Linked DNA regions of Kluyveromyces lactis. The protein of the gene in region 2 purifies or fractionates together with the protein of the main gene of each other region. This does not show direct contact. Links are inferred from orthologs where the notes say so. Each region holds a gene or a part of one and is shown on either strand. Other genes may lie near its edges. The genes, in order: ESF2, UTP21, UTP8, RRP6, UTP20, UTP15 and UTP13.

Region 1 (2,994 bases), on a different chromosome or scaffold from region 2:
AAAACCCACCAATGTGTTCTGGATGTTTTCTCCAACTGGTAGCCAGGTATTCACTCGATGGATAGAAGGGACCAGTGGAATTGTAAGTGAACGCAGCAATTGGACCAATCTTAGCCAATTTCTCTTTCATTATTGGCACACATTCTAAATGTAACCAATTCTCTGCGATAGCAACTGGAAGCTCGGTAGATTCAGCCAATTGAACCAATTTCTTAGCCTGTTCCAAGTTAGCTTCAATCGGCTTTTCCAAGATCACCGGTTTACCAGCTTCTACACTCTTCTTCGCAGTCTCATAGTTGAATTGAACAGGAACCATCACATCCACTACGTCAACGGAATCATCTTGCAACAAATGGTCCAAATCTGCGTAAACTTTAGACTCCTCGATACCAGCAGTGACAGCAAACGCATCTGCTTTACTCTTGGTCCTGTTGAAACATGCGACTGGTTTGAACTTATCGCTGTGCTGTTGGAAAGTGGGCAAGTGCTTGTTTCTTGCAAAGATACCGGTACCTACAATACCAACGTTTAAAGGTGCAGACATATTGTAAAATATATCGAGTGTGTGTTGTTTGTATTGGGGCGACTATAAATCAACAAGTCAAGCCAATTAGATCAAGGATACATGTGTTGTTCATCTATATCGGAAGCACTTCCCCTTTATATATCTGGATTAATCTCTCGAACGGACAAGGTTTTTCCGGTTTCTTGCCATTCGTGTCGGGTTATTATTAATCCAGTCACCAGTTGTCACAAACCGGATAACAGTGGAACGACAACGGCAATGTCAATGGCAATGAGCAATGGCAATGGCAACTCTGGTAGCAAAGCGGAGGGAACTACGCCAAGAGAGTGGGGAGGTTCCTGCTTTGACGTAGTTTTAAGCCGTTTCTATATAGAATATGTATGTAAGACCTGCACACCTCACTGAGAAAGCTGCTCAAGCGTGCAGCAAGAGCAGACATGGATCAAGTTCGCGATCTCCGGCCATACAGGCTGCAAACACCGGCTACAGACCCGTTACTTCATTGTGGTATCGGTCCGTCGTCCAGTACGATTGGTTCCCATTTCTTCTGTACAGTGAGTGCCATACTGAAAAATTTGGAACTAAAGCGATGAGATGAGATGAGATGAGATGAACCATATACATGAGAGAAGAGACAACAGACCACAAGGTTCAGCAGGTTAACTAAGGACAACAATAACACGATGAGCAAGGAGTACAGCGATGTGGATGATTTTGCGTCAGACGAAGAAGAGGACAACCAAGTGTTGATCACTGGGAAGGATGCGAAGAAGAATGTGATTCAGTTTGATCAAGAAGAGGACGAGGAAGAGCAAGAGGAAGAGGACGAGGAAGTACAGGATGAAGAAGAACCGGAGGATAAGGTAGTACAACTCACAGAACAGCAGATAGAGAAAGAAAAGCAGAGACGACTCAAAAAGCTTAAGAGCGATAAGAAGACGAAACACAAGACCGGTGTGGTTTACCTATCGAGGGTTCCACCGTACATGAAACCAGCCAAGCTAAGGCAGATTCTCACAAGATTCGGTGAAGTGGACCGTCTGTTCTTGAAACGTGAAGAGGAGCACAAGCACCAGCAGCGTGTCAAGAGTGGTGGGAACAAGAAAACGATGTTTGAAGAAGGTTGGGCCGAGTTTATCAGAAAGAAGGACGCTAAACTGTGCGCATCGACTCTAAACGGTAATATTATCGGTGGTAAGAAGGGAAATTTCTACCATGACGACGTCATGAACGTTAAATACTTGCCCGGGTTCAAATGGGCCGATTTGACAGAACAAATCGCTAGAGAAAACGATATCAGACAAGCAAAGCTACAATTGGAAATCTCACAGGCCAACAAGTTGAACGCAGAGTTCATCCATAACGTAGAGAAATCAAAGATGGTCAACAAGATGAAACAGAGCAAGAAACGTAACCAACAAGAATCACAGCAGGTCGATGAAGAAGTTCGCAGGACTTTCAAACAGAGGAAAGTCGCTTCGACAAGAGCATCTGCTCCAGATTCTCAGAGACAATCCCAACCGCAATCGAAAGCACTCAACGATGTCATGCATAGTTTATTCTAAGATGACTATATAACACATATATAAAGCATATAGCCAAGCCAAAAGCCCTACAGAGAGTACAACTCATCGCCTGCCATTCCCATGGTCAAAGATCAGGTTTCTTTTTCATTCCCATAGTGTAAGAAAAAGTGAAAAGAAAAAATTTTCCAGCTCATCTCATCTCATCTCATGAATTGGAACAGGAACAAAGGCAGGTTCATCAGTGGTTTGTTTCGATTCAGGTTGATCTCAGTCCAGGCAAGAGACATTCAGTTACTTATTCTTCCATCTGTTTGAGTTTTCGATCGAAATTGAACGTGTTCGTTACCACAAAGAACGAACAAACGAACGAACCAAAGGAAACCTAATTGAAATCTATACCAAGGCACAATGGGTACCGGTAAGAAGGAAAAGCAAAGGAGAATCCGCGAAGGTAATACCAAGGATGGTAACCTTCGTGTGAAGGGTGAGAATTTCTACAGGGACACCAAGAGAGTGCAGTTTTTGAACATGTACAAAGGTGGTAGATCTGTTCGTAATGCAAAGGGTGACATTATCAAGGCTGCTCCGTTGCAGGATACTGCTGCTCCAACAGCAAGAGTGGCTCCTGACCGTAGATGGTTTGGTAATACCAGAGTTATTTCTCAGGATTCATTGAGCCATTTCAGAGAAGCTTTGGGCGAGAACAAGCGTGATTCTTATCAGGTGCTATTGAGAAGAAATAAACTTCCGATGTCGTTGTTGAACGAAAAGGATTCCGCTGAATCTCCAACGGCAAAGATTTTGGAGACAGAGCCCTTTGAACAAACTTTTGGGCCTAAGGCTCAGAGGAAGAAACCAAGAATCGCTGCGTCGTCGTTGGAAGAGTTGATTTCAAGTACTTCTACCGATAATAAGACTTTTGAAGAAAAGCAAGAATTGGAT
Region 2 (4,682 bases):
TACGCTGCCGCAGAATTTTACCAATTCATCCAATGATTGGCCCTTGCGGTGATTGGTATCCCAATGTTGCAGAGCAGTCTTGATATTTTGATTTGTGTTATTAGAATGAATTACATCACCATGCACTCTGAATAAGATGGTAATATATGCCTCATATAACTCAAAGTTCTTGTTGGTAGCCAAACCTTGAGCCAAACTTTCAATGAACCGACATAGCTCATCAAATGGTTGAAAAGCTTTCAAAGAACGAATCTCCAAATCAATATTTGAGGGAGTCATCTGGACTAATTCGTCAAGGAATGCTGAATAATCGTTTTTCTGCGAACCTTCTCTAAGTAGCTTAGTGAAATCAGATTCGAACTGAGCACCAAGTTTTCCTGAAGGTTTGAATTTATTCAGTTCACTAGCAGCATTAGCTTTGGCAGCATTTCGCTCCTGTTGTAGTTTAGAGGAATCCAAACTCAAATTCTCAGCGCCTTCCCTGGCTGAAGCCTCATCGCCCACCTTATCTTTTGCAAGTTGTAAGAAGAATGGAGCCTGCTCTGGTTTAACTGGAGCCTCCTTTGGTTTCGAACGTTGTTTAATTATATCGAGATTGAGTAAGATATTCATCTTGTTCCTTGGTCCCAAAGAAAGAGTCAATAAATCTTTATCAATTTGCTCCATCGAGTCATATTTACCAAAGAGATCTTCGGAATCATCTTCCTCTGTATCAAAAGCCCCTTCCAAAAAGTTGGAACCACCATCTCCGGAAACGTTTGGAAGCATAACAGTGGCAAATTCTTCTTCGTCGATCTGTCTGGTTGATACTGAAATGAACTGAGCTCTATTAGCCCAGAGGGAAATACCATTACCAGATACACTAGTGGTAGCCAATAAGTCACCATTTGGTGAGAATTTAATGTTAGTGATGACATTTTCCACTTTCATACCGTCTATACATCCACCTGTTGGTAAATCCCAGGTTCTAATTGTGGAATCTAATGACGAAGAAACGATCCAACGTCCATCAGGTGAGAAGTCAAATGATGAAATTCTATTGGAATGCCCCCAGAGTTGACGGACCACTTTTTGAGTAACCGAATCTACGACAACAATGGAAAGGTCATCTAATGCTAATGCGAAGAGGTCAGATGATCGATGGTATACCATTGATGTTATAGGTGAATCCAACTTTAACTTTCCCAAAAAAGTGCTTTTGGAAAAGTCATAAAATCCGACAATACCATCTAACCCACATGACACCATCTTTCTGTTCATACCATCCATTGCAATACCAGTAACTGCCTTCTTATGTAAACGATAAACCTTTCTCTTCTGTCCACTTTGTAAGTTGTGAACACTAATACCACCGTTTGAAGAGCCAACTAAACCAAAGTTACCACATTGTGATATAGCTACGCTCTTCGCAAACCCCTCATCATTAGTTGGGATTGTCCACCTACCAACTCTTTTTGTTCTCGAGTTCCATGTTCTTGCAAACTTTTCCCCTTTATGAACCGTCAAGATGTTTTCCCATTGGCCTTGTCTGTTATTTTCGATGACTATTGATGTAATCTCAGGGAACTTCTCACCAATGGTGCTTCCACCAATCCTATTTCCATCTTTATTCTTATGCAGACGCTGCGATAATTCCTGCGATTGTGCATCTTTTCTTAAGGAAAACCCCCATAAAGATCTATCTTTTGAAGCAGAAAGAATGAAATGAGATTGATCGTCAGCAAATGCAATAGAGGATGGAGGTTGAGAGTGACCACCTCTTGACCTTAATAATCTGGCTGGTTGAATGACCACTTCAGAGTCACCTTGCGATAAGGATGGATCGAAAACAAACTCTTTTAACTGGTTGTCACCACCACAAGTGACAACGATCGGCTGACCGTTCAAGAATGATGCTCTTGCAACACCACCATTCACTTCCTTGTGAATGCCTTTTAACACTTGAACACGTGAGCGATGATCTAAGTCATAAAAGATCAAATCACCACTGGTTGATGCTACTGAGATATGAGAAGCACCATCCGTTCTGAAAGAGATTGAAGAAATTCTCGTCGGCGTTTTAATGGTTCTGATTTTCTTACCCTTACGCAAATTGAATAAAATAACTTCACCAGATGATGTACCAAAGGCAACGATGTCTAAAGCAGGTGCAGGTTCAGCAGTGGTGATCTCATCGGGGAACTCATCGGAAGTGTACAATTGTTTTCCGGTCCGAACGTTAAACAAGGTGAAATTAGACTTAGTCACAACGAGCAACTTGTTAACATATGTTGGTAAATGCACCAAATCAACAATATCACCACCTTGTAACTTACCAATGGTGAAATTGGTGTATAATTCAGTAGCGAATTTATCAGATGGGGAATTTTTCTTATAGATATAAACAACATTATTATCTGTAGAAGCAATCAAATATTCACCGAAAACGTTAATTTTGGTCACCACGGTATTTGGATCAGGTAATTCAATCAAATGTTCTAGCTTACCTCTCTTATAGATCCCAACTTTATTCTTAAAACTTGCATAAACGTAATGAAAATGCGCTGCCAAACAAGTAATGTCTCCCTCTGTCTCCTTATCTGAAACGAATAGCAGATGCAAATTATTGGCATCAAAGATCTGAAACGACTTACCAACAGAAGTCACAATGTAGAAGGTCGTACCTAGGGTACCAATCGCATAAGGAACTCCAGTAGATACATTACCTACAATTCTATACGGAGAAAATATTCTGGAAGCATGTTTCCTAACAGCGCCGGAAGAACCAACTCTTCGTTTCTTTAACGATCCATCCACTGTCATGATTGCTAATGCACTGTTCTGTGACTTTATGCAATCGCTTAATTAACTGAACAACAAGCGAATCCAGTAATTAGCTGCTGACGATAGGTATCTATCTCATCTCATCTCATCTCATCGCTTCTTTAAAACGTCGAGCTTCGAAATTTTCATCGCTGAAACAGAAAAAGAAATCAGAATATCACGTGACACATAAGGGGGATCAACCTGCAAATGTGATTCTTAGACTTGGATAGAGAAGATACTATGTAACTTCACCATTAGATGCCATTAGATAGTAACCATACCACAGTCTGAAATCTCACTAGCGAAACACATGGAGGTGTTGCTTAGATACTGGTCTTTACTTCAGAATTACTCACAGTTTTCTATCAAGTTTTCACTATTATCCTTCACATATAAATTTATATACAAAATTAAACACATGGGGAATAATCGTACCATGCATCCGCTTATAACAGAAATCGATTAATTGCAACGATCTACAAAATAATTTTAACTGAAGTTTCAGCATTGGTTATAATCAAATTGCAGAACTGCCAGTCATGTCTTCTCCAGGTTCAATTTCTGATGAGGGTCAAGAGGCAATCAACGGAAATACCATGCCTCCACTGTTTTTAGATTCGAATACGAAAAAGGCTATGGAATCGATCGCTCCTATCCTTGAAGGGTTCACGCCGAAGACCTCTTCTAGTGAGAATAAGTCGTTGAAGTTGCCACCTGCTGGTTTTACCTCTGATGATGATGATGAGACAAATAAGCTCGTCAGAACGCTTAGTATTTCTTCTACTGGTTCGACAGGTCGTCATATGACTCCCAGTGTCCTAGGCACCTCATTCGATAGCATGAATGGTAACAAGCTTCAAAGACTGAAAAGTAACCAAAGTGGATCAGCATCAGTTTCTGCTATTCTGGAAGGATCGCCTAGTCCATCTCCTATGCTGGAAGAACCTCATGCATTCCCCTTCATTCCGCAAGCATTAGTCTCTAATGAAGCTGTCACAACCAACACTGACGGATCAACAACTCCAAGTTCGACAAATTCTTCGAGGAAAGCTTCAACTTCCTCGTCCAAGCCTCAGCTACCAAAGATTGGTAAAATTGGTGTTTGTGCCATGGATGCGAAAGTGTTATCCAAGCCATGCAGACATATCTTAAACAGACTAATTGAACACGGTGAGTTTGAGACTATAATTTTTGGCGATAAAGTTATATTGGATGAAAGCATTGAAAACTGGCCTACTTGCGACTTTCTAATATCATTCTTTTCCAATGGGTTCCCTCTAGAAAAGGCTATCAAATATGTCAAGTTAAGAAAACCATATATCATTAATGATTTGATTATGCAAAAAGTATTGTGGGATAGAAGGTTGTGTCTCAGGTTGCTGGCGGCAAGCAACGTACCTACCCCTCCTAGATTGGAAATTACAAGAGATGGTGGTCCCAAAATTGATGATGAACTGAAATCTATGCTTGCCGAACGTGGAGTTATTGTTTCAACTGTTCAAGAACCCAACTGGAGAATGGTGGACGATGACACCTTGGAAGTTGAGGGTAAGGTGATGACCAAACCATTCGTTGAAAAACCTGTGGATGGTGAAGATCACAATATATACATCTATTATCATTCGAAAAACGGAGGCGGTGGGCGTAGATTATTCAGAAAGGTCGGTAATAAATCTTCCGAATTTGACCCTACTTTGATTCAACCTCGTACTGAAGGTTCATACATCTACGAAAAATTCATGGATACCGATAATTTCGAAGATGTGAAAGCATACACTGTAGGTGAAACTTTTTGTCATGCTGAAACCAGAAAATCCCCTGTAGTCGATGGTATTGTGCGCAGAAACACTCACGGAAAGGAAATTAGATATATTACT
Region 3 (4,058 bases), on a different chromosome or scaffold from region 2:
GGACCAAATGTCAACTATCAATTGATCAAAGCAAGGCTGAAATGGATAGTTTGATGGTTAAAGAGTTCAACGCCAAACTATCTAAACTTATTGAAACTGATTTCAAGAAAGGTCACGAATTGCGCGCTAAGGTTCAAGATGCAAGATTGAACTTTGATACTTTACGTCATGAAATTAAATTGAAGCTGCAGGAAAAAGAGGTTGTAGCATCCTCTGAGGAAGCTGAAAAAAAGGTCGCAACTGAAACCCCTGAAACCCCCGAAAAGAAAACCAATGAGGAACCAGTTGATATGGCAAAGACAGAAGAAGATCCTGATTCTAAGCTTTTCGAACGATTAGAAGATCAGTTCGTGTCTGCAACCTCAGAAACTGTGGAATTCTTGGGAGAACTTACAGATAGTTCTGAGATCATTTCTTTGGTTAAGTTGTTCCATAATTTCCAATTGATCCATTACAAGCAATGTGTCAAGAGCTTAGAAGAAGATCTAGAAGTCCTTAACTCACTAGATTCTGAAGACAAATGAAGAAATCCACCTCTATATATCGTTAAAATAAAATAATTATTCATAATCAATCGTAAATATCTCATATGTAAATGCCCAATATACCTATTTTCCCATGCCTATTTGAACTCGCTATTCAATTTTGCATTAAACCGTTTATTCTTGTCATTAATAAATCCATCATCCAAATTGATCTTATTTTGTTTATCTAGTTTTTGTTTCCGTACCATATACCTTTTCTTTGATCGTTCGTTCAAATCATTCACCATTTTTTCTACTAGTTCAGGATTATCTTCTACTTGAACCTTCCCATCCTCAGTTATTCCACCTTTCAACGGATGTGATATATCCTTCGGAAGCGCATCTACTTCCTTCTTGTAGCTGTTCTTTGCTATAGTTTGGAAGTCCCCCATCACGCTTTTATTATGTCTTGAATTCTGTGTCTTAGCTTCCCATTTTTCATATTCGCGTATTGAGTAGTTTGCCAATTTTATCGGATCTTCTGGTTCGCTTTTGTTACTTCTAGCTTTATCTTCGCCATCGTCAGCCATACTGTATACTCTTCTTTCAGAGTTTTTCTTCTCTTCAGCTATTATGGCCTTCTTATTCCTTATACTTACTTCCACTTTTTGTTTCCGCAAACTCTTCAACTTTTTTTCAATTTCCATTAGATCATTCATCTTCGAATATTTATTATCAGCCTGTGTCCAGTTTACAATGTGATTTGTGGCATTCAAATAAGGGCTACACTTTCTGTCACCTGGAAGATATCTGAGTATATTCATCGCATCTCATCTTGTTTCTGTTTGCATTTCGACACTATATATTACCCGGACTGACTCCCAAAAGTAAAGTTTGAAAAATTTGAAGTACTCAGAAGAAGAGATGAGATGCGATGAGATGCGATGAGCTGTAAGTGCAAAGATACACTCAACCGCTGCTCTTGAAAGGACGAGGTGAAGTATCAAATATCCTGTGTTCAATACAGTTTGCTTTGATATTATTTATCGAAAGATATTGAGAAAATGGCATCCATCTCACAGCCTTTTAGGCTCTCTGCTCTACCTAAGATTCCATCATTGAATAATTATGCGAATCAAACAGACTACTTACAAGTTGTTGATAATCTTTCACCATCAGCCAATAAAGTGAATATTGGTATATCAGGTTCCAGTATATCACAATACTTGATTAATCCAACCCCGAAGCTGGTTTTTAACTTGCCAATCCCCTCTACGAACATTGTTACTGCATGTGACGTGGTAGAAGATGCAGCCAATACAGAAGTCTGGTGTTACGGATTGGAAGCTAGAAAGGTATCACATTTACACTTGGCTACTAAGCCGATGATTCAAGATGCCGTGTCATCTTCAAATGCTGAAATCACATCTCAGTTCAAATATAAACTAAAATCTGAAGTCGTTAGCATTAAGATCTATTCTAAAGCAGAGAAAGTTCTCGTTATCTTAAGGAATGGACTGATTCAAACATTTGATTATGAATTGAAACTTTCAAATACTATTGATATATCTTATGATGATATCAGATTTGTTCAATTCTTCCAAGATGGGCAGGGAAACGATTTCTTTTTCGTGTTATGCCAACTAAGTGATGAGAAAATCTGTTACAAACTTTTCCAAGTTAGGAGTGAGTCCGTCTCATGTATTGAACTAAATTCTATCATACTAGAAAATTACACTTTAGAGAATGCAAAGTTGTGTTTTGAGTTCGGGAAATTATATGTTTTAAAGAACTCAAATGAATTATCAATCTATCAGTTACCACATTTGCAACTACAAACTAGCATTCAGCTACCTTTCATTTCCAAGGATGCAGTTGTATCCATCAAACCAGTTTCTTCAAACCGTGTATTGTTGACTGCTGATAATACCATATATCTTGTGGATTTGTTATACAATGCTATACTATTCCAAAAGGATTTACAGAACATCAAAGCTATTCAACTACTCTCTACTGCAGTTGTTCAAGAAAACTCTGAAGACAATAGAAAAACTATAGCATTAGATGTTACAACTAAAAACGGTGCTAACCCTACGAGTTACTTGGATGTTATTAACATTGATGTTGGTACCGGTACCTTAAAAGATGCGATGGGTAAAGGGTTCATGGTTAAACAAAAGCAGAAACTACAGAAACTCTTTGAAGAAAGCAATGAGGACGACGATGTGGAATTGCCATCTCCAGACTATGAACGCATTATAAAACAACTCCATATCTGTAAAAAAATAGAGAACTTTGATTCTATATTTTTTAAGATGCTTTCCTTAGACAAGGAATATTATACAGACAATGACAGATTTTTAAATGATTCTGATTTACTCACTCAAATAATCGATTGCTTGTTTCTAAATTTCAAGGATGAATATCCAAAAGCATTGACATACCTTCTAACACACCCTTTATTCCCACCGGTTCACGCTAAGGGCTTATTAACCAAGTTGAAAAATAACCCAAGACTTTTCAAACAAGCTATTGTTACTTGTCCGAATGTTCCACTTGACGATTTGTTAACCGAGCTTTTCAATATAACGAATGCAGAGCTCTGTTTTGATATTACGCTAAGAGTGCTACAAGATTACAAGAAAGAATCAATCAAAGCAGGTATAAGAAAAATTGAGAAGATGGATATCACAAACTTTTTGGATATGATTTTGAACTCGAATAAGGCAGATTCGGACTTGAAACTTAATAAGCCACAAATCTTCCAACTTATGAGTTTAATAATAGATTCCATCGGTTTGTTTGCGTTAGACGATGAATATTTAGAGAAACTTTCCTCTTTTGTCGATGCGCAGGTTTCTGTAGTGTCACAAAACATAGAACTTTTGCATTTGGCAGAGCATTACACCAAGCATTCATCGGTTGTTAACAATAAATCTAATTCATCAACAAATTCGTCTTCTACACAACCTATTTCAGCTTACACAGTGGACTATTTAGAATGCTAATAAGTGTGTAGTATAATCATAAACATTAGAACTTTTCGTAAAATGATTTCATCAGCTTTCCATATTGAACTGGAACTGAATTACCTCTTTTGGATCCATGAAAGAGTATGTTTCACAATCCTCATCACTTTCATAAATCACATGCTCCTCGTACGTAACTCTGTTATCTTTGTCGACAAGTATGACAATCTGGGATCTAGTTCCATAGTAATCGCCTATTGGCAATGAAGTTCCAATAGCGTCTGCACCTTTAGTAATTCTTAAAGGCGGTACATAAATACTGGAAGTCGTCACAGAATCCACATCTTCGCCCTCATTAAACGTATGGTTTGATAAAAGTTCAAAACATTTCTGCAATAGTTCTTCCTTGGCAATGCCCGTAGTATTTTTCGCCAACGCATCAAGTAAAACGTACCCATATTCCGTCTTATTCCATCTACTTGTGTGTTCACCTACAGCACAGTGGAAAATGTCGTTGGATATCACCATATGCTCCATCTTTTCAAACGGATTAGTGGAATGCTTTAAGTAGTCGATTACGTTATACTCGTCCGACTTCGCATCGCCATAAAACAACGTGAACGGG
Region 4 (4,576 bases), on a different chromosome or scaffold from region 2:
CAAGTTGCGCACCCGAAGAAGAAGAGATTTATCATAAAATAATCAATTGCTGAAGTCGTAGGGTACTCGTTGATAACATGATGCGTAGCAAATAGCATAATAAAGAAAAGGGCTACTGCAGGTATAAGGTGTGTGTATATGTTAACACTTTCATTGTGAAGATAGAACAATGAATGGAAAAGCTCTTTCCAGCTCTGGGTCTCTCGTACATAGCCATGCAGGATGTGCTCATTATCCTTTTGCCAATCTGGAATTTCATCCCAGGAATAAACCCTTCTCTCATAAACTCTTACAGTTTTCTTCGTTCCCGGGGTCTCTTCGATGAGGGCGGTCTCTTCAGTAACAACGGACCGTTTTCTAGTGCTCATAGTTCAAACTAGGATTTCAGATAATAGGATAGATAAGCTCTTGGAGTCGTACCCGTTTAATTTTTCTGCTCTTTATGTTTGATCAAAGCAGTTCATTGCAGTATGCATTAAAAATTCAATCTCATTATATATACTACTTAGGGCTAAATCTCTTTTAAATGCCATGAGATACCCTTATTTATACACTCTTATAATTCCGCGTAGTAAACAAAATTTGAATATCAACATTCCTTTTTGTCAGTTCCAACATTTTCGAGAACTGTTGGCTAATCTGATGCACTGCACATGACTATAGATGAAGAAATTAGGATAGACTGACTACTGTGAAAAGACTCCTTGCAACTGGAGGATCTTATGGGCAGTCTCAGAAAAGCTCAAGTTATCCAATCTGTGTCTCAATGCCTAGGCAGAAGTAGCTATTTCTAAGGAAAAAAACTATTACGCAAACGAATTAGTGAGCGAAATTAACCTGTAAATATGACTAGTTCGATATTTATACCATTAGAGCTGCTCAAGATGCTCTATCTTTTGAATGAGACGTTCTTACCCTTGGCAGGTTTTGATTTTTTCTTGATAGGCTGTGGACCGACATGTTCAACAGAGTAAGGATCGAATCTTCTTTTTTTATGCTTCTGTGAGTTTGTATTATTCTTTGTTGAGTTCAATAGGTCGGAGCCAGCAGCATAATCCATAATCTCATGACTTGCAGGTGGACTGATAGTCTTTCGTTTGTTGTTAGATTGAGATTGTCTTTTGCGCAACGTAATTACTTCATCCTTGTTCTCTTCAATCTCTTCCTGAGAAGGATCAGACGTGATGACTTCATTTCTGTTTTCATCGTTAGATACTTGCGTAGGAGCTTCATCCTCATTTGACGGTAGCACAATACTCTGAGCTTGTCGGTCAGTGTATTCTTGTTCTAACGTCCTTGTTATTTCATGCTGACGCTTTAATAATTCATGTTGTGGAATGAGCGTTCTCGTCTTTGGTGTATATCTGACGGCAGTATTCACATCCAAGTTTGAAATACCATTGAATAGGACAGATTTCTCTGAATTTTGTTCGTTATTCAGCTTTTGAGAGTTTATTTCCGAAGCAAGTGAATGAAATATATTCTGAATGGATTTAATTTGGGACGTTGTTATTATATTGGCCAGATCGGTGCCGTTACTTTCGGCCGATTCCAAAAGTGGGATCGCAGAAGAGTTGGAATTTCCTTTGAGATCCTCTAAAGTTCTTTTGATCAAGTTTGCAATGACCTTCGAATTTGTTCTTAAATGCTCTGAAACGTATGAGCTGACAGACAATACGTTAATGGGTTCGGTTGGTGCACCAGCCACCAACGATACAAGTAGTTGGTTTGGCATCACGTAACGAGGAGATTCATCATCCCTCCTGGCGATTGTATCTCTCCATTCATAAAGTCTACGGAGAAGTAATTCCTTTGAAGCCGGAATATTGTACTGAAACATAATATTCTTCCAAGGTTCATCCTTTTCAATAGGTGAAAACACTGCTGAAGACGGAACCTTTGGTCTGAAACTACTATATTCAAATCTTCTTTTAGCCACTTTTCTCGATTCATGCAAAACATCGGACATCTTATTCTGTTCCAGTAGAGAGTTCCTTAATTTATCGAAAATATTTAGGAGAAAATGCGTATCAGCTCTTGCATATGCAAGCATAGGCTTGGTCAACGGTCTGATTCTCCAGTCTGCCAGTTGATATTTTTTTGAAGTCTTGAAATTAGCAAATCTTTCGAGAAGATAGGCCAGACTGTGTTTTGGAAAACCTAACATCCTGGAGGCATGATAAGTATCAAAAAGGCCAACAATATATAAGCCTAAATCACGTTGAAGCCATATGATATCCATGAATGCACCGTGCAGAACTTTAGTAACATTAGGGTCGGTAAAGATATCATTCAATATGTAAAGTTCCTCTCTCAATGCAATAGTATCTACAATCCAATCATGCTCCCGGTCACTAATTTGCATCAAACAAACTATACCATAGTAAGACCTATAATCATGATGTTCTAAATCGATTGCTAATTCTGTGGCTTTACTTAATTCATCTTTCATTTTGTTAAGGCCTTCAACGGTGTCAACCCAAATTGCTTCAGTTTCATCCCAGTCCTTTGATGGGATCGGTTCTGTTGCAACAAGAATGGAGTCATTGTATTTTTGGTGGTCGATCTCATATTCGTATGGATGTGGGTAATGGGACGGGATGGATTCCTCTTCTGGGACCATCTTCAATGAAATTTCGAACGGTTGTAAACTATGGGGTTTGTATTCCAATAATGGCTTGAAAGGATGAAGTTCTGTGTTATCTACAGGAGTTTTAAAACTTAGTTGAGGTTTTTCAATCCTCTTGGATGGTTTATTGTTCGAACGATCATCATCATTTAGATACTTAAGTGATGGACCTCCAGCGTTTCCACCATTTCCGGCTCTAATGTTGTCAAGTGCATGATCAGACTTTTCAAATAAATTATCCATAATATTACTTATGGATTTCCAAGAATCCACAAAACTGTCTTTCCCTTGCTGAATTACATCATTATTGGGATCAATAGACAAAAGCAAGTCGTTGATTAACGATAAAATGTTCGTAGAAGTGTCTTCTAATGATGCATTAATGTTGGAATCTAAACTTTTGTAGAAATCGATATCCTGTGCAGCCAATGCACTCGATGATCTCACAGTTTGAACCAAACTGGAAAGTAACGTATCCTTATCCTCTGAAGACATGGTGGATTAGAGTCAGCTGGTAGTCTACGGGGGATTCAAAACGGGGCGAATCGTACTGCCCTCCAATATATTACTGTCTTTGACTACCAGATGAGATGAGATGAAGAAATATTCACTAATCAAAAGAAATCAGAAGAATTCAAATCCGGGTAAAATTTAGATGTTCTCTGCTACTGATGAAAATGATTCATTCAAAGAGTCGGTAGTATTACAGAGAGAGTCAGACCACGTATCACCACCGCCGCCATTGCCTTTCAACGGCTACGTTATAAGTTAATTGGCTACTAGAGAACTAACTATATAATCTTGCATAACTTCTGCTTCCTCTACGATGTACGGATTTTTTTTCAACTAATGTTGCAGCATCTCTCATCTCAATATTATAAAATGACGCTAGAAGCAGACAGCATCAGCTGCTCCATTTTATGGCAACCAATTAAGTATAGCTATATAGGGCGGCTAACCTGTAAGAGTAAAGATGGCACAATTGAAGGAAAGTAATGCAAAATCCTGAAACATTTAAGTAGTGAAACTATACTTTAATACTACATGCTTTTTCATTGTAATCTTGGGTAGTGATTCAATAACTTAAAAGTGGGTCAATTAATGTCTAATTTCCGTCTAGACATTATGAAGTGAATATTGATGAGTATTGCTGCGATGAAAAGAACATCAACAAAAATGGGAAACCATTTCAGTATCGTAAAAGACTCATAACACATTTTGCCAACCATCTTCACAAATTCAGCGAAAGATAAATTGAATCCGAAGTTGATTCCATCCTGGCAATGAAATAAATTAAAGGAAGGTCAACTATTGAAATGACTTGAAAGCTTTTTGCCGTTGCGTAGCAAAGTGCTCTTTCTATCCATATTGGTCGGATCATCCTCCTTCATATTTCTCTTTTGTGGAATGGTGATCGGAGGAGAATCACTATTCTCATTAACAGAAGTTTCTCGGGAACGAGTTTTCCGGTGTTCACTCAGATTAAAGCTATCGCCCTCGGTTATAGATGGTGAAACGATCCTGCCCGTAGTGGATATAATGTTTGTGTTTAATCTACCATTTCCTTTATCTTTAAGATTGTTCTTGATTGTTGTACTAGGCGGTACCAAGGTGCCACCAATGCCAGGATTCATTGGATCGACCATTTTGAAGAAGTATGTGGAAGTTTTATCCGGTGAGTTCAATGGATTTCCAACGAGTTGAACAATCTTCCTGTAATAATTCTGTAAAACATTGAAACCATTGTCGGGACCTCTCTGTGAAGCGTTTTTCATGGGTATCAGCATATTGGAGCCCAATTTTTGTTCAATCTTACAATTTTCGATATTATCATCTCTTGGGATAATTCTGTATCTGACTCGTTCCAAAAACTCATTCTCAAGGATATTTAGTTCACTGCATTGTACGCCTCCAACCTTAGAATAATGTGTGTTTGTACAGAACGAG
Region 5 (4,776 bases), on a different chromosome or scaffold from region 2:
TACAGAAGTTCAAAAATTAGCTTTAGATGCGTTGTTTTGTTACAAGGAATCTCATATAACCAAGTACAGAGAAAACTTGAAGAACTTATTGGATGACACTTTATTTAAAGATGAAATTACCAAGTTTTTAGCAACCGATGACACCAAAACTATCCAAAAGCAAGATGAAGAAGCTGTTATGGGTTATATTGTGAGAATTCTCTTCGGCCGTGTTCAAACCCCAAATACAAGTGGTCTCAAGAAGAGCAGGAAAACTGCAGTAATCACTATTTTGCCTAGTTTGGAAAACCGCTACATTATACAGTTTTTGCAGCTCGCCACGGGAAAGTTCAAATATGAATACTTCTTTGAGAATGGGAATAAAATTGACCTTACTTATGCGACTTCTCTGACCTTAAGAAAGATGCTTGGTTTCATCAATGTCGTTAATTCGTCATTGGCAGTGTTGGGTTCCCAATATCCCGACGTGATGAAAACTGTTATAAGGCCTCTAATATATGCTATCAACATGTCAAACTTTATTGTTTCTGAAAAGTCCGATGAGCAATTTGTCGAAAAGGTAGCATCTAACTTGAGGCAAATAGGACATAAGTGTTTGCATAATCTCTTTAGTCAACTAGGAGACGTTTTGGATTGGAGGCCTTTTACTGCTGACATATTCAATAATGTGATTACACCCCGTCTAGAGAAATTTGAAGATGAGAACTTGCAACAGGTATCATCTGTCATGAAAATTATTACATACTGGGCTGAACAAAAATCACTCTACAGTTTCCTATACTTTGATGATTTGTCTGCTGTAGCTGCCTTGATGAAAACATTACAAAATTCAAATGCAAAGGAGTCTGTAGTGGGTGTGATATTGAATTTCTGTAATAAGATAATCAATAACCCTGACCAGGACCCAAAGTATGTTGAGCTAATCATTATGATAGTTACGATTTGCTTGCAGCAGTTGCCTGTGCTACTACAAAGGTGCACGGAAAGTACTGTTATTTCTGCTGCAGTAGACTTGTTGCTAAATATCACCGAACTTGGTTATGTTGAAGATAACGAAACAAGAGAATTGTTGGTGGGTTCATTGACTCAAGCATTGCAAAAAGATCTCTCGCAATTCACTGTGAAAGATAAAGTGAAACTTTTGAAGACATTATCAACTTTGATGGATAATTTCGACTGTTCGTTTTCACAAGTTGAACCATTGTACATTGCCGCATCTAAATTATACAGATCTTATTCTGATAAGGATCTCAGACAGGCATTGAACAATATTTTTGTGAGCATTGGTGCGAGGTTCAACGAATATGAGGCTGTTGGGGCGCTGTTGGCTGATTTAAATTCGTATTCGACCAGCAGAATGAGAGAATATGACTTTGAAAGAAGATTACCGGCATTCAAGCGCTTCACAGAGAAAGAATGTGACTCTTACACAGAAATGCAATGGTTGCCTGTAATCTACTCATGCTTGTTTTTCATCAATGACACTCAAGAATTAGCTATTAGAACTAATGCTTCTCACACATTAAATCGATTTGTTGATTGTATGAACTCAAAGCTCTCAGTTGAAGATGCAAGTGCATACATAGACATAATGAAAACCATCATTTTACCAAATATCAGGTCAGGTTTAAGAAAGAACATTGAAGAGATTCAAAATGAATATATCTCTCTCATTGCTTATATTGTCACAAACTCTCAATATCTGTTTGAAATTGAAGATATGAAAGTTCTATTACACAATGGTGATGAAGAAGCTGATTTCTTCGTTAATATAAACCATATTCAGTTGCATCGTCGTCAAAGAGCTGTCAGACGTCTAAAAGACTATGCTCCAAAGCTTTCTGACAACAGTATTTCGCACTACTTAATTCCTATGGTCGAGCGCTATGTTTTCTCTACCGAAGAGAAGTACAGAAACATTGGTAACGAAACCCTTATCACTATCGGTACTCTATCGAACTATATGTCATGGAACCAATACAAAGCCTTATTCAGAAGGTACAGCTCTATGTTGAAGAAGAATACTGAAAAACAAAAGGAAGTGGTTTCCCTTCTTGTCAATATTTCTGTTTCCTTAAAGAACTCTTTACAAGCAATGAGAACTGGAGATGAATCCCTACCAACACTCAGAAAGTTCCCAAAAAGCTATCAAGAACCGGAAGCTTTCATAACAAAAGATATCTTCCCTAGCTTGAGTAAGATCTTATCGACTAGAGATGACGAAACAATTGTGTCTAGAGTTCACTTATCAGAAGCATTAGTGAACCTCGCATTGGGCTTGGAAAAGGATGACACTGCGGCACTTTTGCCTGGTATTTTAACCAGTGTATGTCAGGTTTTACGTAGTAGATCGGAAGAATTGCGTGAGGCAGTGAGAAAGAACTTAGCAAATCTTACTGTTATACTAGGCCCACAATACTTATCTTTCGTCATCAAGGAGTTAAAGTCAGCTCTTACCAGGGGCTCCCAAATCCATGTTTTGAGTTATTCTTTGCATTTCGTATTGATGTCAATCTCTGAAACCCTTGTTCATGGTGATCTTGATGAATCTGTTGGTATGATAGTCGATGTTATCATGGAGGATATTTTTGGTGCTGCTGGTCAAGAAAAGGATGCAGAAGGATACACATCCAAAATGAAAGAAGTCAAATTTAATAAAAGTTATGATACCGGTGAATTGGTAACATCCAACATCACCCTCCCAATGTTTGGGTCGTTATTGCGCCCTGTCAATGTATTGTTGCATGAAAGGCTTGCTCTAAAATCGCAAAACAAACTCAATGAATTATTAAGAAGGTATGCCTTGGGTTTGAATCATAATCAAGAAGCGTCATCTCCAGACGTTCTCAAATTGTGCTATGAGATATTTAATCAATCTCACTCAGACAAGAGTAATAGACCCAATAAAGTCAGAACCACTAAAGATGAGCGTGCAGATTTCTTTTTAGTTGATCTTAACTTTAAATCAGGCACTGTCCAGAACGATACAACTATTTACGCTCATACTTTGCAAAAATTCTCCTTAGATCTATTGAGAACGGCTGTTACCAAAAATGCCAACCTAATGGAAGTTAAATATCTACAGCCTTTCATCCCATTAATGAAAGAAACTCTTGTATCTGATAACGAGGGTGTTGTCATGGCTACTTTACGCCTTTTGACTATAATAATTAAGTTGGATTTCGAAGAAGAAGCTGAGGCTATATTCAAAAATTGTGCCAGAAAGGTCTTAGAAATTGTCAAGAATTCACCATCAACATCATCAGACTTGTGTCAGATGGGCCTCAAATTTTTATCAGTCATGCTCCGCCATAAAGATATTCAATTGAAAGATACTGCCCTGGGTTACTTGTTAGGACGTCTCCAACCTGACTTGATGGAACCTAGCAAACAGGGGTTGGCGTTCAACTTCGTCAAAGCCTTGCTATCAAAGCACATAGTACTTCCAGAACTTTATGATGTTGTAGACAATATTGCGGAAATCATGGTTACAAATCATTCTAAGGAGATCAGAGATGTTGCCAGAGGTGTGTACTATCATTTCCTTATGGAATATGATCAGAGTAAAGGAAGATTAGAAAAACAGTTCCGTTTTATGTTGAACAACTTGCAGTATCCATCTCAGGAAGGTCGTCAATCAGTCTTAGAACTCGTCAACTTAGTCATTAACAAATCTGGTGCAGAACTTGTGAAGAAAATTTCATCATCTTTCTTTGTTTCCTTGGCGAACGTTTGCGTCCAAGATGATGCCCCGAAGTGTCGTGAAATGGCTTCCGTTCTTCTTGCCTCACTCTTTGAAAAATTGGGGAAAGCAAATGTAAAGGAAATCGAAAAGTTCATTACCGCGTGGTTAAAGCAGGCTGACAATGAACAATTTTTGAGTTTGGGTTTAAAGATCTACAAGATTTACCTGAATAAACTTGGAGCTGGAGTAAACCCTTCTCTTGACACATTAGCGATAACTCGTGTGAAGTCTATTATTTCCAATACAAACGTCGGATCAGATTCTTCATGGGACCTCGTTTATACCGCATTATCTGTCTTCACTGTTTATGTTGCTAAAAATGAAGGCCAAGCATTCAGTAGCGAATTTGATGAGACCTGGAAGCAAATTGCCAACTGTCTGTTATACCCTCATTCTTGGGTTCGTCTCTCGGCTGTTCGTCTCGTCAATCAATTGATTAACAATCTTTCCAAGCTTGAGGCTCCATTGGATGACTATCAAATTCAAACGATCGCATATAGAATTTTCCGTCTGTTGGGAGCACCAAAATTACCTGAAAACTTGTCGTCAGTTGCTGTGAAGACTCTTCTAGTTATAATCATGAAATGGAATGAAAATAATACGCCGTACATTCATAATTCAGAAGAGAATTCAGTGTCCAGATATTCAAACGCGATAGAGTTTGCCATTGCTAGAACTGGTTGGATAATCAGAAGTGAGGATAATCCAAACGATTCTCATAATTCGAAAAAAGCTGCCATTCAGCTGGCTGCATTAACCATGCAGATTTTGAGCAGCGAAAGATTGTCAGAAGAGGCAGAAAAATTCATTATGCCATTATACATGTATGTTGAAACTAATGTTAACAGATTAGACGAAGATCAAGAGGAGCTTCATAACTTGGCTCAAGAGTGCATAAAAATCTTGGAGTCCAAAATATCTGTATCAGCTTTCACATCAGCATATGCTAGTGTTAAGCAGCAGGTAATTAAAAGAAGAGAAGAAAGAAGAGCAAAGAGAGCGGTTTTAGCTGTTAGAGCGCCTGATGTAGC
Region 6 (3,722 bases), on a different chromosome or scaffold from region 2:
ACCGCCAATTGGAGCCTTTTCAGACTCAATGTATTTGATAAATTCACCAGTCTTACCATCAAAGCAACATATCTTACGATCGCTACCGACAGACACAGCATATTTCCCTGCACCTGGAGAGAACTTGACGTCTCTAACGAATTTACCTTGGCCGTGATGCGTTCTATCACTGCTTGCAAACTTGAAAGGTGGACCCTGGTAAAACACAACAGAACCATCATCACTGACACTGAAAGCTCTCATTGGTCTGCTTTGCTTGAAATGAACTGCATTGACTCTTTGAGAGTGACCCGAGACTTCACCTAACGAGTTGCCCGAGTCCCAAGAGACAAACGCACCAAACCTATCACGACCTTCACCAACAACAGCCAATCTTTTACCCTCAAAATCCCAGGATATATCAGCGACAGGACCAGCGAGCACATGTAGTTCCGACTTAACGTTGTACTCAATTTCTCCAGACTTATCGTCCTGATTCCAAGACCAAACGATAACTCTACCGGAATCATCTCCTGAAGCAACATATTGAGACCCCTGGATAGGAGAAAATTTTACAACAGTGACATTACTGGTACCATGGCCATTGAATTGAACGACATGTTCACCATCTAAAGATCTAATGATGGCAGATCTACCGCTACCATAAGCTAAACTGTCAGTCTTTGGATCATATGATAAATGTGTCGTAAAGTTTCTCTTTGTAGAAGGGAGAGGTGCAAAAACCTTTGCTAAATTAATCGAAACCATATTATCGCGAGATACTAGATCAATTGACTTTTGGAACACTCTGTAAACGCACCAGAAAGACCTCTTCCTGACTCAAACGTGTCCTGTTCTCATGGTTTAGTTTCTTGATAAACTGGTGAGTATAAATAAATTCCATACATATGGAATGTAAATAGACGAAATAATAACTACTGGGATGCAGAAATACAAAGAAAAGATATCCTAAATACCAGTTAGTATAATGAAAGTGGTATTGCTGAATACCTGGGAATCAAGAAAATCTGGGAAACCAGGTTAAAAGCAGATAAAGGGCCTTAAAGGCCCTTTATCTGCTTGTAAAGTACAGTGAACGGTTATTCTTCTCTGAAAAATCACAATCAACGAGATTCTTCGAGTCTTCAAAGAAAAGAAACCAGATTTTGGAAAAAAAAAATGATTGAAGCCTTAGCTCATCGCATGGTTGATAAAATAGATTTCCCTGTAATTTGCGAGTTATATCAGTCGGTTTGGTATCGTCAGACTACTGTTAAGTGATAGAGGTGATTCAGGCGATCAGATTGGTAGAAATATTGTGAAGAAAATGTCGTCTGTGAGACCTAGAGTGACGCCGGTAAAGGCTCCTGTGTTACCAAAGCAGACCACCCCAGAGCAGAGGTACTGGAGGTCTTATTCATCTACTCAGCTTGTTAAAGAGCACAATGCAGTGACTCATATTGCCTTCAATCCCCAGCATCCACATGATTTTGCAGTTACCTCTTCTACTAGGGTACAGGTCTTCTCGTCAAGGACAAGACAAGTGATCAAGACGTTTTCTAGGTTTAAAGATGTGGTGCATTCGGCCACTTTCCGTCAAGACGGTAAACTTTTAGTAGCAGGTGACGCTACTGGGTTAGTGTCCGTTTATGATAGTTATAATCCACGTACTTTGTTGCTTTCTATACAAGCTTCGTCGCATCCTACGCATGTGACGAAGTTTCACGATCAGGATAACAAGACTTTGGTGACGGCAAACGACGATAGAGTAGTGAGACTATGGGATGTTTCTCATGCTTATGAACCCACTTTACAGTTAACTGGAGCATCTGATTATGTTAGATCAGTCTGCTTTGTGCCAAATGCTCCACATATGGTCGCTACAGGGTCGTACGATGGAGTAGTTAGATTGTACGATATTAGAACGAAATCAGATAAACCACAGACAACTTTGGATCACGGTCTTCCTGTGGAAGATATCACAGCCATATCTCCTACTCAGCTTGCATCGTGTGGTGGTAACGGGTTCAAAGTATGGGACTTGACTAGCGATAGAGCCCTTTGTGAACGTCAAAATTTCGCAAAGACGGTCACCTGTTTGAATTACACAAATATGGGAGAAGAATCACCAATGAGTTCCGTACTAGTTGCATCCTCGCTTGATGGTCATGTTAAGATCTTTTCCCCGTTGGAGAACTTCCAATTCAAGTTTGGCTGGAAGTTTAGCAACGCTGTGCTAAGTTGTGCAGTCTCACCAGGCGATGCGCAAGGTAATAAACATTTCGTTGCAGGTTTATCCTCAGGAATTCTAGCCATCAAGACGAAGAAGAAGTCCAAAAAGATTAACCTCGCTGATGTCTCTGATTTGGAGGATTTACCATTACAACAGCAAGAGAAGTCTGCGAAATCCAACAATTTCCAGAGAATGATGAGAGGGTCCGAATACAGAGGTGATCAAGAGCATATTATACACAACGATAAGCCAAATCCTCAGCGTAAGTTGCGTCAATTCGAAAGGCATATCAACCAATTCAAATGGTCTGACGCATTAGATTCTGCATTTATCCCCGGTATGGCTAAAGAATTAACTTTAACGGTATTACAAGAACTAAGGAAAAGAGGTAAAATCAAGGTTGCATTATACGGTAGAGACGAAAGTTCTCTAGAACCACTACTCAACTGGTGCTTGAAGGGAATAGAAGATGTTAGAAGTGCACCAATTGTTGCAGACTGGATTGCGGTTGTAATTGAACTCTACGGTAGTGTACTGGAGAAGTCCCCAGTACTTGAAGAGATGGTAATCACTCTAAAGAAAAGAGTAAGGGAAGAGATCCGCAAAGCAAAAGAAGCACAAAAGATAGAGGGTATGCTCCAATTGTTAACAAACTGATAAAATCCTTTCTACACTGATCTATAACAAAAAGGAATGCGTGTAAAAGATTATATTTATTTACATTTATAGTACATAGACTGCAACAACTGTATCATCCCGTTCGTTACGTCTGTTTCTTTGTTTTTAACGTTCTGACTTTGAAGAAATCACCTTCTTCCTCTCCATTTACTGGCTCTGTTTCTTCCTGCCTTTGTTGGAAGATTCAAACGCTTGAAGTTGTTGCTAACAAGGTTGTATTTACTCTTACGTTGCTTCTTCTTTACGGGTGGATTGGATTGTTGTTCAGAGTCAGACTCACTTTCTTCCACTTCTTTACCCAGCATTTTATTGTACTCACGTTCCTTCAACTTTGCTAGCTGTTCATGAACATTTTTGTCTGGAATGTTGGTCGACTTCTCGTTTAATGCTGCTGGTCTCATCTTCGCTTTTGTTCTTTTCTTTATGGTTTTAACTTTCCGCACATAATTGCTCTCAGTTTCATTGCCGACAGTTCCCTCGTCCCCCTCTTCAATTATATCCATATGTTCTTCCTGCATCAGCTTTTCCATAAGCGTTCTAATCGCAGTGAATTCGCTGAAATCTTCTGGGTTAGATTCGAATTCGTCTTTTATAATGGCATGTTCCTTCGCTAATTGGGACAGTGTCTTCACCGGCCTTTTAATCAGCGGCGATGGGCTGAAGGGAGAACTTTTCAAATCCAGGGTTCTACCAAGCGTCTTTGGTGTTTCTGACAACTGCAATCCAATATCGCCGATCCGCATTGGGGAGTTTGGTCCATATTTCGGTCTTGACACAACAATATTCGCAGATAGATTTGGAACTTGCTTCATTGGAGAAGAGTTCGGCGTTA
Region 7 (4,417 bases), on a different chromosome or scaffold from region 2:
TTATCTTCTACCGATGAATTTTCAGAATCGGAGCTGGAATCAGAACTTGAGTCGGACACGTCTTGCGTTCTTCTCTTCTTTCTTCTGTTCTTCCTCTTGTTCGTCTTGCTAATAGCTGCAATATGTCCCTCTGACATGATAGTTTCCGATAGAGCTTCTCGTTAATATGGAGGAGAGTTAACTTTAAAGTATAACTGTCAAAAATTCACAGTTGAAGTCACCTTTTAACAGAAGAAGGATGAGAGCCGATCTCATCTCATCTCATCTCATCGCTTCACATCGTCTAGTTATTTGATGAAGTTTCTTTTGCAGGGAAACAAATTCTGTCTAAAACTCAAAGCCGGGTAACAAACTTATTATTCTACTGATGGATGGCCCTTGACTGGATATGGTATCTATTCAGAGTTGATGCGGTGGGTGTGTTGTACTGTTATATGTATATATCTACATGACGACTAGTGCTATATTTACATTCTTTATAGCAATTTGTCCATTTGAACTAAAGCGTAATCTAAGATATAACTTTCTTGAACCAAGTTATCCATTCTTGAGTAATGTCTCTCTGCGTATGAGATTATTGATTCAACGATCCTTACAAGCCCAGGAATTTCGCTCAACTCTTCAATATTTTGTCTTAGAAGAATACACCTTATCATCTTTTGGGCTACTGTGTGTGTTCTTGCATTTGTATTCCAATCTCTGCACCTTTTCACTAAAAGAAGAAGTTGATCTTTATCTAGAGTCGACACAACCTCGTCAATTTCGTTGTTGAAAACTACATTTGGATCCTCATTTGAGTTGTCTACACTTTGTCTTAAGACGTTGTACAATCTCATTGGGTGATCCAAGGTCATGGCAAGCAAAAATGCGTTAGTCCAGTCACCTTCTGAGAGATAATTTTGTAATGATTGTTCTTGTTCAATCTTCAGTTTCTCTTGCTCGAGGTTACGTTCGTGTTCCTCTTCACTGTTATCCCTCCAGAACTCAAAGAAGCCGTCAGCATCTGCTGTAACGAAGGATTCACCATCGTTCATAACAGCAAGAGCCCAGATACGGTTATTGTGAGCATCTAGTGTCTTGACCGATTCACCAGTTGATAGATCCCAAATAATAACTAAACCATCAGCACCAGTACTTATCAGTTGCTTGTTCTTGTTTATGAAGGAACATCTTTGAACTGCATTGGTATGTCCTTCCAAAGTTTTTACGACGGCATATGATTCTAAGGACCAAATTTTGATGGTCTTGTCACCGGAACATGTGGCCAATAACTTGTCATATTGACAGAATGCAACGTCCCATAGACCACGTTTGTGGTTTGCTAATGTGGCTTGGAATTCACCATCATCCAAATTCCATATTTTACATGTCTTATCGTATGAAGCCGTGGCAAATAGAGAATCATTAGGTGAAATGGAGATAGCATTGATATCCTTTTCATGCGCCCTTCTGGTATATTCTGAGGTCTTAACAAGTATTAGATCTTCGGGTTCATCAGATGTCACCTTAGGAACCTTCCATTTCTTTATGGTCAAATCGTTAGAAGCTGTAATTATGAATTCAGGCCATGAACGTGGCATAACATTAGGAAGTCCAACAGCATTCACAGAACCTACATGACCGACAAATTTAGTGTATGGATAAAAGTCTTCGTACTTTGCATGATATCTCCATAATATAACGCTGTGATCCTTGGATGCTGTAGCAACCCAGAGACCATCAGCGGTGGCATCCAAAGAGTTGAGTAGATCCGTATGACCCTCGTACATCTTTACTTCAATAGGAAATGTTTCTTTGTTCTCCCCATTTTCGAACTCTTCCTCCGAAGAAGTTGGGGTTGGAATTATTCTAAGAGTAGGAGAGTTAGTAGCTAATGCTAATTTATCCCGTTTTGGACCAACGAATCTTATATCTGCAATGGTACCATGATTACCTGCAATCTTATTTTCCACTTCAATTACTTCAGATTCCGATTGTAAAGCTGATTCAACATCTATTAGGAACAAAGTTTGATCTGAAAATACCAAGTACTGCTTAGTTCCGTTCAGGATACATAGTGTACCAATAATAAATAGCTCTTCAATAGGTTTTGCTGTTTTCTTTAATACTCTTCCTGTTGACAAGGACACTAATTGGTAAATGGCACCACCACCGGCTGAGTAAACCACATCCGGGTCCTGCGTAAATCCACACGATTCCACCTGTTCTATGACAGGGATGGTCTTCAGTAGCTTATACTTTTTCGTCGAATTAAACTCGAAGAGATTTAAGATATTGTCTCTACCACCAGATAATAACTGCAGCGTTCCCTTTTCTTCATCAGTGACACGGAAATCTAGCCCTCTAACAGCTGTAGTATGTTCCTGAATAGTGCATTGACAATTACGTTTAACTAAATCCCAGACTTTAATCATACCGTTGGTATCACCAGATGCAAGCTTCCAAATTTCACTGTTCAACTCACCGTGAAACTTTACACTTGAAATGGTAGCACCATGTCCTTTCAAAGAGTGCGTGACATATCCATTTTCAATATCAATAACACTAACACTACCATCAGTACCACCTATAGCCAAAAGTGTAGATGTTTGATCGCAATTCATGACGTACACCGGTGACGAAATCTTCATTGATCTGATAATTCTTTCTTGTTTCAAAGAATACACTCTGAGCAACTGCGCTTGTGAGACAAAACACAAATAAGAACCATCTGGAGTTAAATGCAATGCGGTGATGTCTTGTTCATCCTCAGTATCAACAGAATGCAACACTCGGCGTGGGCTATCTAAGCTAACAATGTTGATTTTATCGACGACCGAAGTCGCTAATAATCGTCCATCTTCAGAAACAGATGCTATAGCACCAGTACCAGCATAAAACGGCTCTAGTTTCGTGGATGCATAGGTAGTTCTCAAATCCATTGTGCGAGTGGGAGATCCAAGGTGCTGTCCTGGGTGCTAATAATTGGCCAGGTATAATCTTATTGGTTCACCTAGCATATTTCTGTGATGCGATGAGATGAGATGAGATGAATTAAACTTTTCAACATTCGAATTGAACAAAAAAAAGAAAAAAACGTAGACAATGAGGCATGGGTTATCATATGCTTGAAACAGAAAGAGATTGAACATATACAAAGGAGCTGAAAACCGGGAACGGTCTTTAGACAATGTTTATTTGCACTTACACATATTTGCTAAATATTTGCTAATATTCTAATGGATATGATTTTAAAGTTAATTGTTGATTTATGAGAGAAGTACAACACTCCTCTTACGGAAAAAATGGTGAAGCTGAATAGAGCTTCACAGAATGATATCTATGTAGATTATATCCAAGAAAGTGTAGTAGGTAGAATACAGATAATTGTAGTTTATGGTTATGCTTTAGTCGAGTAGTTTCGCATCAGCAGCAGTGGTAAAACCAAGGAATAAAAAATAAAATCAAAGGAAGTGAAAATGAGGGTTAACTTGGGAGTTCTGTTGATCCTCCGATGATTTCCTCCAGATCAGCTAGCGCCGTCTCACTGAAAAGTCCATTCTTGGTTACTCTCATATGTTCAGCAGCAGCTTCGGCGATACTGTTTCTTCTTCTCCATGCGGCAACATGGCTCATTTGTTCATGGTTAAAATCAATTTCTTCAATCGGGGCAGTCAGAGAAACCAGGAGATCTGCATCGTCACTGCCTAATAGATCAATATCTCCATCTTCATCTCCATGATGAGAAAGTATTAAATCATCATCAGATTTCAGCAGTTGATCAATTTCATCCATTCCTAATCCCTTCACAGAATTCTTCCTCGTTGGTAAAACCAGACCGTTGAAATCATTAGGTGTGTTTCCAGCATCTGCATCGGTGAAAACACTTGAACTTGGACTAGCCAAATTCACGCTAGAGGGAGTTTGAATGTTGTTGTGAGAATCTGCGTTGGGTTCAGTTTCAGTTTCTTGTTCAGGAGCAGTGAGCAATTTTTGCTTTTCAATTCTTTGCCTTTCCCTTCTGATTTTCAAGAGCTTCTTTTTCTTCTTTATCTTCCGTCGCTTTTCATCTTTCTTTCTTTGGTATTCCTTCATCTTATCGATCTTCCTTCTAGTCCTTTCACTACCAACGTAACCAATTGGGAACTTGCGTGCTGAAAACACAGGAAGCATGTATTCGTCTTCTTGATGTTCGAAGTTGATGCCTTTATTTCTGAAAGCAGATAATGGAACAGATGGTTTGTGATACCAGGTGGCAATCTCTTTATTCTTAGAATTCGAGTCAGCGCCATCTTCATTGTTTTCATCTTCAAGCTCACTCATATTCAACAATTCGTTAAGGGTTAGTTCCTCTTTTTCGCCTCCTGATCCGATACCATTATGTGATGAAACGTCTTCGACTTCAATTCTTGGATCTAAAATTTGTTGAACTGGCGGA

The links.
Region 1: the proteins of UTP21 (region 2) and ESF2 purify together in Saccharomyces cerevisiae (affinity purification with mass spectrometry; 3 studies listed by BioGRID). This does not show direct contact. The link is inferred for Kluyveromyces lactis from reciprocal best matches to the Saccharomyces cerevisiae genes UTP21 and ESF2.
Region 3: the proteins of UTP21 (region 2) and UTP8 purify together in Saccharomyces cerevisiae (affinity purification with mass spectrometry; 3 studies listed by BioGRID, with this or other methods). This does not show direct contact. The link is inferred for Kluyveromyces lactis from reciprocal best matches to the Saccharomyces cerevisiae genes UTP21 and UTP8.
Region 4: the proteins of UTP21 (region 2) and RRP6 purify together in Saccharomyces cerevisiae (affinity purification with mass spectrometry; 3 studies listed by BioGRID). This does not show direct contact. The link is inferred for Kluyveromyces lactis from reciprocal best matches to the Saccharomyces cerevisiae genes UTP21 and RRP6.
Region 5: the proteins of UTP21 (region 2) and UTP20 purify together in Saccharomyces cerevisiae (affinity purification with mass spectrometry; 3 studies listed by BioGRID). This does not show direct contact. The link is inferred for Kluyveromyces lactis from reciprocal best matches to the Saccharomyces cerevisiae genes UTP21 and UTP20.
Region 6: the proteins of UTP21 (region 2) and UTP15 purify together in Saccharomyces cerevisiae (affinity purification with mass spectrometry, with the first as the bait; 4 studies listed by BioGRID). This does not show direct contact. The link is inferred for Kluyveromyces lactis from reciprocal best matches to the Saccharomyces cerevisiae genes UTP21 and UTP15.
Region 7: the proteins of UTP21 (region 2) and UTP13 purify together in Saccharomyces cerevisiae (affinity purification with mass spectrometry; 6 studies listed by BioGRID). This does not show direct contact. The link is inferred for Kluyveromyces lactis from reciprocal best matches to the Saccharomyces cerevisiae genes UTP21 and UTP13.

The regions. Positions count from the first base shown.
Region 1 is NC_006039.1:1,672,933-1,675,926, reverse strand, and holds ESF2 (RNA-binding ATPase activator ESF2), read left to right. Parts: upstream 1-1,209; coding exon 1,210-2,091; downstream 2,092-2,994. Other genes in the region: KLLA0_C18887g (uncharacterized protein), read right to left, coding at 1-544; putative GTPase NOG2, read left to right, coding at 2,461-2,994. UniProt on the Saccharomyces cerevisiae protein: Involved in the small subunit (SSU) processome assembly and function, and in the 18S rRNA synthesis. Required for the early cleavages at sites A0, A1 and A2. Stimulates DBP8 RNA helicase ATPase activity.
Region 2 is NC_006038.1:252,567-257,248, reverse strand, and holds the start of UTP21 (rRNA-processing protein UTP21), read right to left. Parts: upstream 2,803-4,682; coding exon 1-2,802. Other genes in the region: inositol polyphosphate kinase VIP1, read left to right, coding at 3,345-4,682. UniProt on the Saccharomyces cerevisiae protein: Involved in nucleolar processing of pre-18S ribosomal RNA and ribosome assembly.
Region 3 is NC_006041.1:412,655-416,712, forward strand, and holds UTP8 (Utp8p), read left to right. Parts: upstream 1-1,528; coding exon 1,529-3,472; downstream 3,473-4,058. Other genes in the region: KLLA0_E04621g (uncharacterized protein), read left to right, coding at 1-524; SYF2 (Syf2p), read right to left, coding at 623-1,288; KLLA0_E04687g (uncharacterized protein), read right to left, coding at 3,524-4,058. UniProt on the Saccharomyces cerevisiae protein: Involved in nucleolar processing of pre-18S ribosomal RNA. Also has a role in nuclear tRNA export. It acts between the steps of tRNA maturation/aminoacylation and its subsequent translocation out of the nucleus.
Region 4 is NC_006040.1:113,261-117,836, reverse strand, and holds RRP6 (exosome nuclease subunit RRP6), read right to left. Parts: upstream 3,125-4,576; coding exon 890-3,124; downstream 1-889. Other genes in the region: IZH2 (PAQR-type receptor), read right to left, coding at 1-368; PHO80 (Pho80p), read right to left, coding at 3,934-4,576. UniProt on the Saccharomyces cerevisiae protein: Nuclear-specific catalytic component of the RNA exosome complex which has 3'->5' exoribonuclease activity and participates in a multitude of cellular RNA processing and degradation events.
Region 5 is NC_006041.1:1,543,267-1,548,042, reverse strand, and holds part of UTP20 (Utp20p), read left to right. Parts: coding exon 1-4,776. UniProt on the Saccharomyces cerevisiae protein: Involved in nucleolar processing of pre-18S ribosomal RNA and ribosome assembly.
Region 6 is NC_006042.1:1,275,226-1,278,947, forward strand, and holds UTP15 (snoRNA-binding rRNA-processing protein UTP15), read left to right. Parts: upstream 1-1,306; coding exon 1,307-2,869; downstream 2,870-3,722. Other genes in the region: AIP1 (Aip1p), read right to left, coding at 1-747; SLD2 (Sld2p), read right to left, coding at 3,019-3,722. UniProt on the Saccharomyces cerevisiae protein: Involved in nucleolar processing of pre-18S ribosomal RNA. Required for optimal pre-ribosomal RNA transcription by RNA polymerase I together with a subset of U3 proteins required for transcription (t-UTPs).
Region 7 is NC_006042.1:1,222,682-1,227,098, reverse strand, and holds UTP13 (U3 snoRNA-associated protein UTP13), read right to left. Parts: upstream 2,922-4,417; coding exon 477-2,921; downstream 1-476. Other genes in the region: RSA3 (Rsa3p), read right to left, coding at 1-137; KLLA0_F13222g (uncharacterized protein), read right to left, coding at 3,466-4,417. UniProt on the Saccharomyces cerevisiae protein: Involved in nucleolar processing of pre-18S ribosomal RNA.